Linked DNA regions of Diceros bicornis minor. The protein of the gene in region 1 purifies or fractionates together with the protein of each later gene. This does not show direct contact. Links are inferred from orthologs where the notes say so. Each region holds a gene or a part of one and is shown on either strand. Other genes may lie near its edges.

The links.
Region 2: the proteins of GP6 (region 1) and LYN purify together in Homo sapiens (affinity purification with western blotting; 5 studies listed by BioGRID and IntAct, with this or other methods). This does not show direct contact. The link is inferred for Diceros bicornis minor from reciprocal best matches to the Homo sapiens genes GP6 and LYN.

Annotation. Positions count from the first base shown.
Region 1 is NC_080773.1:33,073,100-33,080,795, forward strand, and holds the start of GP6 (platelet glycoprotein VI), read right to left. Parts: upstream 3,152-7,696; coding exon 3,058-3,151; intron 2,941-3,057; coding exon 2,683-2,940; intron 1-2,682.
Region 2 is NC_080772.1:9,706,374-9,714,556, reverse strand, and holds the start of LYN (tyrosine-protein kinase Lyn), read right to left. Parts: upstream 3,216-8,183; 5' UTR 3,027-3,215; intron 1-3,026. UniProt on the Homo sapiens protein: Non-receptor tyrosine-protein kinase that transmits signals from cell surface receptors and plays an important role in the regulation of innate and adaptive immune responses, hematopoiesis, responses to growth factors and cytokines, integrin signaling, but also responses to DNA damage and genotoxic agents.

The DNA.
Region 1 (7,696 bases):
TCCCCCCACCTCCTTAAGAGCTAAGGAATTTCCAGCTGTGTCCATCCTAGAGCGCCCACTCTCCCCATCACCAGCTCAGAGTGGTTGAGGGAGAATGACTGAGATCACATCATAGTCCCTGGGCGCAAATCCTGGTTCTGTTGCTTAGGGGTAGTGTGATCCTGGAGATAAATTCCCCCTATATCCGTGCCTCAGTGTTCTCTCCCATAAAATGGGAATGATTGAATGAAACAATAAATATTAAGCATTTAGCAGAGTATCTAAGCACTCAAAATATGATGGTAGTAACAAAATAGCTTAAGGTTATATTGCACTGTAAGCTTGTATTAGGGAACACAATACTTATATTGTAAACTTGTGTTAAAGTGCCAGCTTCCAGGTGCTGTTCTAAGCTCATGACATATGTCAATTCATTGAATCCTCACAAAGACCTATGAATTCATCACTACGCATATCCCTATTTTATAAATGGAACTAAGGCGCACAATGCTAAATAAATTGTCTGAGGTCGTAAGACAGTACGTGGCAGAACTGAAATTTGCAATTGTGGAGTTTGACTACAGGCTCTCCACTCTTAAACACGAACCTCCACTACTATGTAATTTGATAGCATTATCATCGTCAGTCATGGCAATCCACGCCTGCCACACAGTACTCACAACAACAAACATTGCCTGATAATTAAGTCTCATTCATTCATTCAAAAATTTTTTTTCCTTAGCAACTAAATGTCAGTCTCTGCTCTAAGAAACAAGAATCCCATCAGGAAGAAAGAATGGACAATAACAAAGATAAATAGGTAAATGTGTGGCATACCAGATAGTGATGAGTGCCATTTTAAATCTGGGTGCAATTTTAAATAGGGTGGTGAGGGATATGCTTAGAGAGAAGCTATCATTTGAATTGACAAACTTTTAACCAGACTCACTAAGAAAAAAAAACACTCAAATAAATAAAATCAGAAATGAAAGAGGCGATATTACAAAAGATACCACAGAAAAACAAAGGATTATAAGAGAACACTATGAAAAGCTATATGCCGACAAACTGGATAAACTACAAGAAACAAATAAATTCTTAGAAACATACAACCTCCCAAAACTGAATCAAGAAGAAATAGAAAATCTGAACAGACCAATCAGAAGTAATGAGATTGAAATAATAGCAATCAAAAACCTCCCAAAAAACAAAAGTCCAGGACCAGACGGCTTCTCTGTTGAATTCTACCAAACATTCAAAGAAGATTTAATACCTATCCTTCTCAAACTCTTCTGAAATATTGAAGAGGACGGGTTGCTTCCTAACTCATTCTATGAGGCCAACGCCACCCTGATACCAAAACCAGACAAGGACAACACAAAAAAGGAAAATTACAGGCCAATATTGCTGATGAACATAGATGCAAAAATCCTCAACAAAGTATTAGCAAATAATAATTGATCAGATAATAAGAGGAGACACTCTCCTTGGAGGCAAAATGTAAGCAGGTGCAAAAAAAACTGTCAGTAATGAAGATAAATAATATTTTAAGGTAATTTTTAAATCACAACTAATGCGAACACAACAATAACCAAAATATCAAGATTTTAAACCAAGACAGAATCCAACTGTGCCCAGCAAAGCTGTTTGAAGCTTAAGGCAAAAAGGAATCTATGCACCCCTCCATACACATTTTTATGTATTTTTATGGTTAATTTTTTCCATACTATTAACATAATTGAAAAAATATTGAAAATTTTTAAAGAAAGTTATTAAAGTACGCAACATTATTTTGAGTTTAAATATTTTATTTATACCAAAAAAAAAAAAAACCCACAGAATTTGTTATCATTTTACTCTCCTGGCTTTCACAGAAGAAAACTCATCAATGATATTTTCAAAATCTGCTGCGGAAAATAACCATTTAAAAATGCATTAGAGGGGCCGGCCCAGTGGCTTGGTGGTGAAGTGCGCACGCTCCGCTACTGGCGGCCCCGGTTCGGATCCCGGGCGCGCACCGACGCACCGCTTCCTGGCCATGCTGAGGCCGCATCCCACATACAGCAACTAGAAGGATGTGCAACTATGACATGCAACTATCTACTGGGGCTTTGGGGAAGAAAAAAAAGGAGGAGGATTGGCAATAGATGTTAGCTCAGAGCCAGTCTTCCTCAACAAAAAGAGGAGGATTAGCATGGATGTTAGCTCAGGGCTGATCTTCCTCACAAAAAAAAAAAAAAAAAAACATTTAAAAAATTCATTAGAAATAAAAGCATAAGCTGAGACTGTCTTATTCCATCAAAAAATAAAAAACAAAAATGCATTAGAATGTGAACAGAGGAATGCACATTTTTCCTTTTGTGCCAGGCTCGGCTGTGGCTTGGCACAGCACTGTTGGAGCCTGTCTTTACGGAAAATCGTCATATTTGTTCATTGTGGATATTCTTGAGTTAATTTTGATTTTTTTAAAAAAATTGCCTCAGCATATTATTTATGTTGATTGACGAGTTTTCTGGGAACCACCCCTAAATTTAGCACTCAAGGCCAGCGCTCTCTTGCCCCACCCTAATCCCTGCCCCAGGGGGACTTCAGATTTACTATCGTGGGCATCCCAGTTCTCACCCTCTTTGAGCCCAGAACTGAGGACCGTGTAGCCCTCAGGCCACACATCCAGCCACATCCCACCTCCGCCCCTCCTGTTACCAGTGGCAATCAGCTCCAGCTGCTCACTGGGGGGTGACCAGCGGGTCCCATTCTGGTAGGAGCAGCGGTAGCGTCCAGCGTCGTCTGTTCTCATGGCCGGAATGAAGTGGATGGCCTGGTCCATGTACTTTCGGGTTCTCAGTTTCTCCAGGCGGTACACGTCCACACCCGGAGGCCCCAGGCAGCGGATTGTCACCGGCTTCTTCAGGGGCACAAGGGGGCTGGGCTGGGCCTGGAGGGAGGGCTTGGGCAGTGGGCCTGGAAAGGAAGCAGAGCCTAGCAGAGGTCATCTTCCCAACAGACCCCTCCTTCTGGACCCTCTCACCCGCTCCTGCCCTCGCAGGGGCTGAACCCGGAAGAGGGATTAAGACTCACCGTTCTGAGCTTGTGTCACCTGCCCCAGACACAACCCTGAGCATAGAAGAAAAGGACCAAACGTTAAAACCTCACGAACCCACACTCCCTGCATGCTGGGCACGGTGGTAAGATATTTGCATGGGTTAGCTTTCTTTTGTCATAATTATTTTTTTTTCCCAAAGACGCACATGCACATAATTTAAGTAAAAGAAGCCAGCCATAAAAGGCCACATATTGCATGATTTCATTTATATGAAATGTCCAGAATAGGTAAATCTGTCCAGAGACAGAAAATAGATTAGTGGTTGCCCGGGGCTGGGGGAGGGGAGATTGAGGAGTGACTGCTGATGGGTGTGGAGTTTCCTTTTGGAGAGGTGAGAATGTCTTGGAACTAGATAGAGGTGCTGATTGCACAACATTGTGCATGTACTAAAAGTCATTAATGGTAAAGGTTATGTTAAATATATTATTCTGCTACAATTTAAAAAAAAAGAAAAAAATAGGGATTCCTTGCTCCACCCCTCAGCTCCCTCCAGTACCACTCCCCACGCACACACTTTTGACAACTGGAAAGAGAATTACCTCTTCTTTGAGAAGCAGGCTGTGTGCCTGATGGAGTTCCTTTTTTTTTCCCCCAGATTTATTGAGATATAATTGACATGTAACATTGTGTAAGTTTAAGGTATACAATGCATTGATTTGGTACACTTATGTATTGCAAAATGATTACCACCTAGTATTAGCTAACACCTCCATCCCCACATGTAATTACTGTTTCTTTTTTGTGGTGAGAACACTTAAAATCTACCCTCTTGGCAATTTTCAAGTATATAATACATTATTACTAGCTATAATCACCATGCTGTACATTAGATCCCGGTGGGGGTCTCTCGCATTATATCATAAGTCAAGAGAGCTCAGGGTGTGTTAATCATAGATTTCCCACTATTTTAACTTTTTGATTAAATCAATATTTTGTAATTACCTTACTATGACTCTACAAATATTATTCACACCTGAGGATTATAATATTTTACCCACGTATTTTTCCTATTGTTTTTCCCTCAAAATCAACAAATGTCCAATTTAGTTCCATCTGCATAGTTTTTCCACAATTTTCAATAGCCTCTCCTTGTAATTTCACACAACATCTATTAAACTGCATAATCTGTAAATTCCACTTTTCCCTTGAAGTTACCCTCCCCCCCGTTCTCCTTCTATCTGAACTAATTCTTCCCTAGGTTGAACAATTGTCCTTTTTCTCTCAAACTAAGACTCTTCTTTCCCTTTTCTGCTGAGTTGGTAGCTTTATCTGTCTCACTAGGGTTGCCAGATTTAGCAAATAAAAACATAGGACTCCCAGTTAAATTTGAATATCAGATAAACAACGAGTAATATTTTTTTGCATAGTATGTTCTGTGAGATATATTTGGTGTGCTTAGGCTTAAAAAAGTATTTGTTGTTTATCTGAAATTAGATTTAACTGGGCAGCCCGTGTTCCATCTGATAACCCTTATCCTTACACACACACTGGAAGGAAGGACTGTTATTGTTTCCATTATAAACGTAAGGAAACTGGGCCAAGAGGCTAAGCAATTTCTTGTAGCACACACAGCTAGGAAGTGGTGAACCCAGATCATCCCTGACTCCAGAACTCAGGGTGACACACTTGTGACCAGCTCCATCTGAGCCCCATCCTGTCCACACCAGGTTCTTCCGCATCCTGTACCCAAGCTTCACCCATGTCTTTGTCCACTGCCCAACACAACCCCACCTCAGTCCCTCCGTGGGTTTCCACGCAGCCCATCAACATGACTGGAAATATTCCATGTGCCATTCTGAGAGTTTTGTGAATGGTTTCGGGGTCACCACAATCCCACTGGTTAGGTACTATTATTAACCCTATTTTATACATCAGGCTATTGTGACAGTATCTTGTTCACAGTCCTGCAGCTGGTAGGAGGTAGATTCAAACACTGGCTGCATATTTTAGTGTGAAGAACGTGGACTTGGGCCAAAATTCCTTAGTTTTTATTCGAGCCCTAACTGTGTGACCTTAAACAAGTTACTTGATCGCTCTGGGCCTCAGTTTTTTCATCTGTAAAATGGGGATGATAATAGGCCTTACCTCATCAGGCTGTTATGGGATTAAATAAGTGTCTATTGAAAAAAAAACATAGAATAATATCTAGCCCATAGTAAGTGCTACATAAGTGTGTGTTAAAGAATGAATGAATAAGAGGCTGTTTGTGTTCATAGTATGCCCTCTTATCCCCCGTGACACAACTATTTCCTTCCTGCTTGGTCTCTTGGAGCCTCTATCCCTTTAGTGATAAAGTTCTTTTGAAGAAATAAGGAAATCATGCATATGACACACCTCACACAAAGCCTGATGACGAGCAGGCGATAAAAATGCATCTGATCCCACCACCAACCCCTCATGGGAGACTCTTTCTTTTTCCAGCTACTTGGAGCTATAACTGACAAATAAAAATTGTATGTGTTTAAGAGGCACAACATGAAGATTTTATATACTTACACATAGTGAAATGATCATCAGAATCAAGCTAATTAACACTCCCACCACCTCACATAATTATCTTATTTTTGTGAGAACACTTAAGATTTACTCTCATAGCAAATTTCAGGCATAAAACACAGTAATGTTAACTATAGTCACCATGCTGTGCATGAGATCCCCACAACTTATTCATCTTATAACTGGAAGTTTGTACGCTATGACCAACATCTCCCTATTTCCCCCATCCCCCTACCCTTGGTAACCACCATTCTACTCTCTGCTTCTGTGAGTTCGATTTTTTTAGATTCCACATACAAGTGAGATCATACAGTATTTGCCTTTCTCTGTCTGACTTATTTCACTTAGCATAATGCCCTCCAGGTTCATCCATGTTGTCAAAAATGGCAGGATTATTTGCTCCAGTATCATGAGGGATTCTGACAAATTAAGTCTATAATCTAGTCCTCTAATCTATAACTACCAAGTTCACATTTAAAAAAAAAAAATGTGGTTTGTGGGAGAAATTTGCAGCCGTACTAGGAGACCTGTGTTCATTTCCTGACCCAGCTGTGAATAGACTAGAGTAACTCAGACAAACACTTCACCTCTCTGGCTCCCAATTTTCCCAGCCAACAGATGAAGGGGCCCTCGGAGGTCCCCTCTTGTCTTGAAATTCATCGCTGATGCAATGTTTTAAAAAAAATTCTTTGTCAGCTTCTGCAAGGCAAACGAAACCAGGATCAAAATGAAAAGACAACCCACCAGCTGGGAGTAAATATTTGCAAATCATATATCCAACAAGGGGTTAATCTCCATAATATATAAAGAACTCACACAACTGAACAACAAAAAAACAAATAACCCGATCAAAAAATGGGCAGAGGATATGAACAGATATTTTTCCAAGGAAGGTATACAGATGGCCAATAGGCACATGAAAGGATGTTCAACATCACTAATCATTAGGGAAATGCAAATCAAAACAACGCTAAGATATCACCTTACACCCATTAGAATGGCTATAATTGCTAACACAAAAAATAACAAATGTTGGAGAGGATGTGGGGAAAACGGAACTCTCATTCACTGCTGGTGGGAGTGCAAACTGGTGCAGCCTTTATGGAAAACAATATGGAGATTTCTCAAAAAATTAAGGATAGAACTACCATACGATCCAGCTATTCCACTGCTGGGTATTTATCCAAAGAACTTGAAATCAACAATCCAAAGAGGCTTATGCACCCCTATGTTCATTGCAGCATTATTTACTATAGCCAAGATGTGGAAGCAACCCAAGTGTCCATCAACAGATGATTGGATAAAGAAGATGTGCTATATATATACAATGGAGTACTACTTAGCCATTAAAAAAAGACAAAATTGTACCATTTGCAGCAACATGGATGGACCTGGAGGGTATTATGTTAAGTGAAATAAGCCAGACAGAGAAAGACAAACACTGTATGACCTCTCTCATATGTGGAATATAAACTAACACACGGACAGAGAGAACAGTTTGGTGGTTACCAGGGGAGTTGGGGGGGGGCACAAGGGGTGAAGGGGTGCATTTATACGGTGACTGACAAACAATAGTGTACAACTGGAATCTCACAATGTTATAAACTAGTATGACATCAAAAAAATAAAAATAAAAAATTCTTTGTCTCATAGCCCACTGCCTGTCCCTCAGCATTTCCCAGATGGACCCTAAGGACTCACCAAGACAGAAGAGGGCAGACAGGGTTGGGGACATGGTTCCTCAGCCTGTCCTGAGCTCTGTAGCCCAGGAGGGAAGCCGTGGGGGGCTGGAGCAGGGACACAGGATGTGATAAAGGCAAAGAACACTCTCTTCTCTTCCCCCATCAGCCCTGGCTTTTCCTAATTGAGACTCATCAAGCTGGAGCCGTCCCCTCAGTGGAATGACTTGCAAACAAGCTCCAAGGAGCCTCACTTATCTCCTGTTACCAGCCCAGTGTTGCACCACATCTGCCTATTGAGGCATTGTCTGTGTTCCCATGTTCCCATAAGCTCCCTGACATTCATTAGGGACATGCAAATCAAAACCACAGTGAGGTATCACTTCACATCACTAGGATGGCTGACAGATAGCCAAGAAGACAGCTAATAACAAATGTG
Region 2 (8,183 bases), on another chromosome or scaffold:
ACAATTCTCAAGTAATAGAAGAACATTACCTTGTGAATCTCTGCTTTACAAATATTCATTAAATAAAAACCTAATTTCTTTGCTTTTAAGTAATTGAGTGCCTGCTATAGCTCCAAAGGCAGAAAAGTGGGAAATGCTCTAAAGTTGAGCCAGAACACATACTACCCTGCCCAACAGCCACTTAACCAGGCCTGTGACCCTGGACATGACATCAACCCTCTTTTTCTGTAACTGATGCTGCCTACCCTGGGAGACCATGGGAGGTTCGAATGAAACCAGAGTTCAGGAAGGCTTCAGAGCCCTGCATAAGTGAAGGGTGTTAGCACCATCATCACCAGGAAGAGCTCTGGAGAGGTCTGAGGCCTTCTCTACCATCAATGTGTCACTCATCAATGTTCCAACTAATGACTGTGGTGACCTTCCATGTAAATACTATCCATGTCTCAGGCCATGGAGGTCACTGAGATCAGCAGTGTGAGTGAGCTGTAACAATGTTCCATGCTGTGGACATGTACACACTGTATTCTCATTTATACAGATTTAAAATCAGTATGGGTTTGTTTATGGATAATATAGTTTAATTCTGTTAAATTATAACCCCATATATTCATTTCAACCAACTGGCATCTCAGATGTTTTGGTGATTTATTTTTGAACACAAATACGGTAGAACTAAAAAGCTTTGAAAGTCATTGATTCACAAAACTGCCGGACCACTTGTCTGCTGAAAGAATGCCATTGGATGAGGGGTGGAGATCACAAATTCTCCACATACCTGTGCAACACCAATGACTTTAAGATAAAGTGGGTCTTTGTGATTTGGCAAACTACTTTTGCCAAATCTTACCACTCCAAATCAAGACCTGTCTCCCAGTGATACAGCACAGTAACCAGGGCTGAACGGAGATGCCCACTTAGAACACTACAGCTGGGATAACCTGAGAGGCCAAAAAGTCCCTCACATCCCCATTTTAGACACCAGGACAGAGAGGGCCAGTAGGCTGCAAATGCCTTAGGGACCAGCCCTGTTCCTCGGCCTTGCACAGCACCAGGCTCAGAGCAGACTTGCATTCCTTCTTCTAAGTAATCTCCACTATGGGACAGGCACCAGGGCTAGCATTTTGGACCAGACAGACAAAGCTGTTCTCAAGGAGCCTTCACTGTAGTGGTGAATATAGACTATACACATGCAGACAAACCAAAATATAACTCTAGTTACTGCTATGAAGGAAATGTTGGCTGAATAAATGGCCTAAGTAACTCATCCTAAATCACAGCTCTGGTAAATGGCAGAAGAGCCCCACAACAGGCTTCTGGTTCCTCCTTTCTCTTTCCCGACATCAGCTGCCCTCTCCTCTTCACTCAGGAAGCAGGTTAGCCCACTCTGCATCCAAACAGGCCCAGTCATCAAAAGCCTCTTGTAATCAAAGTAAATTTCTTCAGGCCTCAAGACGTTTACCTCCTTATTCCCAAATAAGAAGCAGAGACAACAGAATCCCACCCTTTTCCAGCGCACTGCCCTTCTCAGGAAGGACTTGCAGTACTTAGTTAAATTACAACTCCCTATATTCTCCTGTCCTCTCTCAGTGCCTGCTCCAGTCCACACTGCTTTAGGTGTTGCCTGCACAGAGAGAACACCTCTGCCCTCCTGAACCCTGCAGCCGGCTGGGGGTGGCCAGCAAATCAAAAGTCAGTCAGAGGTGCTTACTGGCTAGTTCTCAGGGTGAGTGAGACTCCTGGGCCCTGCTTTGGGACAGCAAATCCCTGGTGTATTTATTAAGCAGATTTACTAGTAAGGCCAGGTGGCTAAATCGGACATGTAGTCTTAGGTTTATAATCAACACATTACAAAGAACCAGGGAGCCTCGTTTTTATGGACAGAGTTATTTGCGATCAATAATAATAACAGCACTGTTTATGAAATGCCTAGTATGTGCTTGGGGCCTTACGTGCAATAAATAGCTCAGGAGGTAGATATATTCTCCAAGAGATGAGGAAACCCAAAGAGCGAATTTCAATAACAGGACCAAGTTCACACACGGTTAGGAAATTGCAAGGCCTGGATTCAATTCGAGTTTCTGAGATGGCAAAGAAGTTGGGTGGATTGGGCTTAATTAAGACAGACCCATACTCACACGGGCATACAAACAAAGGAAGACACAACCACACAGCCACGCCGGCTATTAGAAGGAACATTACAAACGCACAGCATCCAGCAGACGCCGCGGTCGCCAGGATAACGCAGAACAGTGCAAACTGTCGCTGACACCCTTCCCCCAAGGCGAAGGAAAGGCAACCCCTGAATTCTTAAAATAACTCTCGCTTCCTCTCCGCCGGCGGCAGAGGCACCGGACTGCTCCTCTGCAGGCCGAGAGGCGCCGGGCTCAGCGGGAGGGTGAGCACCACGCTCCGCCGCAGCCCCTCGACGTCACGCCGCTGCCCGGCGCGACCGAGGAGGGCAGCTGCCCGCGGGCCTGCAGGAGGGCCCGCGCCGGGCCCCATCCCTCACTTCTGGGGACCCAGAGCCCAGCGGGGAGACCAGGCTGCGCGACCCGAGGAGTCCCCGCCAGGATCCCCGCCGCGCGCCCGCTCCGCGCGGAGAGGGGCTTCCCCGCGGCGCGCCGGGAGTGGCCCGAGCGGGGACAGCATCCGGCCGGCGGCTCCGCGCCAGAGGGACCCGCGGCGCGCCCGCCTCCGCGCCCGCACTCCCACCACGCCCCTGTGCGCTCCGCGGGAAAGACACCTGCGGAGCCGCCCGCCCCCGCCTTCTCGCTCCGGGGCCGGGTCACCCACGGGCTGAGGGCATCGGGGTGCCCTCGCCGCCGGGACCGGCGCCCGTGCGGCCAGGAAGCGGCGCGCGCCCCCCGCCCCCGCGGCCCGTGCCGACCCCCGCTCCCCGTGCCGACCCCGGCTCCCCGGCCCAGGGCCGGCCCCGCGCCCCGGACTCCGGCCAGTGGCACAGCCGCGGCTTCCGCCCGGTCTGCCCGGCGCCCGCGCCCACCCCCGGCCTCGCGCGCGGGACTCACCAGCTCGCGGTGAAAGTTGCGGGGCGGCGGCGCTCCACGGTGACTCGAGTTCAGAGCCGGGGGCGCGACGGGGCGGCCCAGCGGGCCCCGCGTGGGGAGGGGCTGCGGGCCGGGAACGGAGGACGCCCGGCGAGGGGCTGCGGGCGCGGGGCCCGGGGTGGCGCGGCCGCCCCGCCTGCCGCGGGCTGGAGGCTGCAGCGCGTCGGGCCCCGAGGCGCCACGGCCGGGAGCGAGCGGCGGGCGGCCCGGAGCGGCGGGAGAGGAACTGACTGTCGCTGGGCTCGGCCGAGAGGTCCCAGCTACTTCCTGGTGCTCGGATTTGCATACTGCACCCGGAGGGCGGGGAAGTGACCGTTTGGCCTCTGCCCAAGGTTTGGGTCTTTCATGTGGCCGTCGCGCAGAGCCTTGAAGGCAGAGAAACCTGGTGTCCCAGTGTGCAGCTTGGCAGAGTGGAGCCTCCTCGGGCCCAGCATTCTCAGGTAGAGACGGACAGAAGCATCTTCCAGGGAAATACTCTGAAGCCTTGACGGTCGTAGCACATCGACGAAACCTCTCGCGTCTCCTTGCCTTGCCTTCCAGCCTACTCCCCAAGGTGTTAGGAAGTGTTGTGCCCCTGGCAGCGGAGGGGGCGCGCTCTGATCCCCCCAACATTTGGAGTTTTCTAGAGAGAGAATGAGATGTGCCGAGTTTATGCTCAGGGTCTCATTGTGTTCTTAATCAGTACAGAGTAAGCTCCTGAAGGGTGTACGAGGATGTTCAGGGTATTGATGGCGGTGGTGGCTGTGGAATTAAATAGCCTGGCAATTTACTCAGTTCCTCAAAACTTCTGTTTCCTCCCGGGAAACTGGAGATAAGGATGGCTAGCTCGCGGGGTTACTGGGAGGATGACATGTCTTCTGTAAAGGGCTCACACTGTGCCCGGTACACAGTCATGGGCCCTGTTATTCTGTCATTCCTACAATCTCTGCATCCCCACATGTTGCCCAGAGCTTGACACATAGCAGGTGCCTAATCAGTGTCTGTTGAAAGAGTAAGCTGCATCTTCAAGCTCATATTCCTACTCAGTAAATGCCACTTACAAATCCAGGATGTAATGTTAGTCTCAGCCACTGTGGATGCCCACTTGTTCTAAGCAGGATTCTACTCACTGGGATGCCAACGCTGCCCTACACTGTAGAATTTACGAGGAAATAAACAGCATCCTGTAGGAGGTTTGGTCTTTGTGTTAATAATAGCCAATACTTACTTAGGGCCTATTGGGCCCCAGACATTGCCCTAAGCGCTTCAGACCTGTTACCTTTTATTGACAATGTTCTTAAGAGGCTGGCCCCACCTAAGGAGGCTGCAGCCACAGCCCAGTGGGCAAGTCCAACTCCTTGTAACACAACCCCAAACAACAATCGTTGTTACTGGTAACAGAGGATGAAGGTTTGCAAACTACTGCCTTAAACGAAGTAGGTTGGTTTATACCTGTGATGTTTGCTGGTATGTAGTTGGTTAGTTTCCTGCTGAAGAGGAGGGAGTGGGGTTACCTGTTGGAAGGTGTTGCAAGTGTGAGTGAAATCTGCCACAGATCCTATGGAGTAATTCACTACCTCAGGGCCCGTTTCCTGGACTTCTCTTCAGGGTGACCTCTCAAATGTATTGGCCCTAACTTAAAACATCTGCTATTACCAATGAGTCCTTGAGATCCTGGCTAAAAGCATGTCACAAATAAGAATAGGATACAGAATGTTTGGTGTTGGCTAATCCATCTGGAATGTCCTGTCAGTGTTTTTGGTAAAATGTCTCTTGGCATAAGGAACAAAGCGTAAGCGGGCAGAGCTGGTCTTGCACCCGGCCCAACCACTTCTCCCTCCTCATGCACAAGTGTCTCAGCTAAGTTCATCTCTTTATTCTTATTTCGGGGGGAAAAAAAACTATTGTCATTCCCACATCTCAAGCTGTCTTAATATATCCTGAATATTTCCTCCACCCACTCTCCATGTCTATCTTTCCTCCTTCAAGTCCCATCAAAGTTCCATGTCCCCGAAAAGTTTTATTTAAAGCCCTCATTGGTAACCTTCTTTTCTAGATATCTAGAGCACTTACAATGTGCAACAGTCATTTTAAACTAGATTTAGGTACTTTTTAGCATTGTTTGCCTTTGTTTCATGTAAGTAAATAGTAAAGCCCTCTTTGGAAGGCATTGCTTCTTATATTTATCTCTTTCCCACTGTACCTCTCCAAAGTTCTGTTAGGTGCTTTAAAATACTTCATTAGTATCGATTGATTGGTTCATTGACTGAGGAACTGAGTTGTCTCAACAGTATTCTCTGTTGAAAATTGAACACAGAATGAAATGATCAGAGGCAGGTTGCAAATTAACAAAGACCCCCTTGCCAGGATAAGCCGACTTTGAAGAAGGTGAGGGATGTGACTGAGAATGACGCAGGAGGAAGTAGTGGAAATGGCATCAACCATGTATAGTCGATCTTCATTTTTTCAGACTCTGTATTTGCAAATTCAGCTATTCACTAAAATTTATTCGTGACCCCACAATCAATACTCACAGCACTTTCACAGTCATTTGTGACATGCGCCCAGGGGTGACTATTTGAGTCTCCCCACACACACACTCCCACACTTCCAGCTGAGGTCAAACTGGGTGATGCTTTGCCTTCTTATTTTAGCTCTTGTACTATAAACATGTGTCCTTTTGGAGATCTGTTTAGTGCCATGATTTTTGCATTTTTGTGCTTTTTGTTGTTGATTTCACTGTTTATTTATTTATTGTGAGGAAGATCAGCCCTAAGCTAACATCCGTACCAATCCTCCTCTTTTTGCTGAGGAAGATTGGCCCTGAGCTAACATCCGTGCCCATCCTCCTCCACTTTATGTGGGAGGCTGCCACAGGATGGCCTGACAAGTGATGCATCGGTGCGAGCCCGGGATCCGGACGTGGGCCACCAGCAGCGGAGCGCACGCACTTAACCACTATGCCATGGGGCCGGCCCCTGATTTCGCTGTTTAAAGTGTCCCTTGAGTGTAGTGCTGAAGTGCTGTCTAGTGTCCTAAGCACAAGAAGGCTGTGATGTGCCTTATGGAGGAAATATGTGTGTTATATCAACTTTGTTCAGGCATGACTTATGGTGCTCTTGGTCGTGGGGTCAATAATGTTAATGAATCAACAATATACATTAAGCAAGGTGTCTTGAAACAGATTTACACTTAAAACAAGGTTATCTATCAAGTTGATGAAAGTGTGGCCAGAAGCTCGCAGCAACCTAACCCCGTATTCCTCCTAGGAACAATTGTTCAGTATTAGCTAATTCATTGTTTGTGGCAACTTTATAGATCATAACTACCACAAAAATCGACTGCGCATAAAAACATCCCATCTTCCACTTGTAGGAAAATGAAAGGCCTGACCTCAAGGAAATTCTCCCTCAATACAGACCTTCAGATCCTGGCACTTATGGCCGAGATTGGTCATTCTCGGCACACACTCACGTCAGCCCACCCACCTCACCATCTGATCTGCAGCCCATCTCATTGCCACAATGTGGACTGTCCCCGGTGCCCCTTTCACTCTTCTGGAAGCTGCCCTTCAGACTCCCCAGGGCACCTCAGGGACTCTTACAGACTGTCTGCACAAGCCCTCTGGTTGCTGTTGTGGGGAGGGGCAGATTGGAAGCAGAGACTCGCCATCTGACTCTTGCAAACGTGGCCACAAACCTGAGACCCAAGCAGCAAATAATACAGAGCAGTGCTGCTCAATCCTGGCGGCACGTGAGAATCACTCGCCCAGGCCCTACCCTGATAATTAAAGCCCCGGGGGTAGGTTGAGGGTGGACCCAATCGTCAGAGATTTTAAAGCTCTCCAGGTGGTTCCAATGAGCCGCCAAGATTGGGAACCACTGGGAAAGAGCCCCAACCAAACATCCTGGGAGAATGTGGGGCATAGCTGCCAAAGAGATGAGTTTCTACTGACCAGTGATCCTAATAAAATATGCCAGCTGGCCTCTCATCTACACACTTGGGACTGATGAATCAAAAACGTTGTTTAAAATGGGGAAATCATAAAAATGATGTGAATGTGCCTTAAAACATTCACCTGAACTTCAACCTCAAGTACATTCATTCACTGCCAACCTCTCATGTAACGCAGGGCGTTTCCTCTGAGCCTGTATCTCCTACATGGCATTCTGGGCCATCTTTCCCACCTAAACCACACCCCTGGCACCTCATCCCTAATTTCCAATTACAGCTTTGTGGAAACAGAGCTGTCTCGCCCACAATCTCCTATCTTCTACACCTAATTCAGTGCAATTGTTTGCTTTTACCATTTTACCTGCGACTGCTTCCAAATATTGAACTTAGTTTTTGACATGGAAACAACTTTTTCACTCATATTTTTTAAGTTTCTATTTAATTAAGTTGCCTATTTGTGATAGCAGGCACACATTGACTTCAGAACAACTGGCTTTTGGGAAAGTATATGAGTGTTACCCAGAGGAAAGAGTTCACTTTGCTGGAGGGATCAAGCGGCGTGTTCCAGAGGGAAGCGAGAGTGTTGATTCGTCCAGAGTCTATGGAGAAGAGGTTGATTTCTGAGGCTTTCCATCACCACTCCCACCCAGGAACCAGGCAGGTTATTTTGTTAAAGCCTCCAACCAACCCTCACAACATCCAGGCTTTATTTTCTACATTTGATAGATAAGAAAACGGCCTCAGAAGGGGTAGGTGACTCGCCCAAATTCACCTTGCTGAAGTGGCACGTGCTGGACTCGAACGCCGTTCTCTCTGTCTGACTGACATCAAAGCCCGAGCTTGTACCCTTAGTTTACAATGCCTTCTGCAAAGTCAGGGCTTCTGAGCTGGGCAAACCACAGACAGAGCCTGGAAGTTAGCAGGGCTAAATCTAAGAGAGTCCTTCTCAGTTCTTTTACAGGAACAACCAAGCTACCTGAGCAAGAAATTGTTCAAACTGAGCCAAATAATAATGGTAATAACACCAATCACAAAATTAGGATTGAAATCTTATCAAATTTACAACAGTTAATTTGTCACTCAATGATACACAAGATCGTGCTACGTGGTAATTACAGTAGACCAAAATAGTAAACTATGCATAAAAAATTGTCTCATGTAGTCAGATTTAAAGTCCTGGAGTCT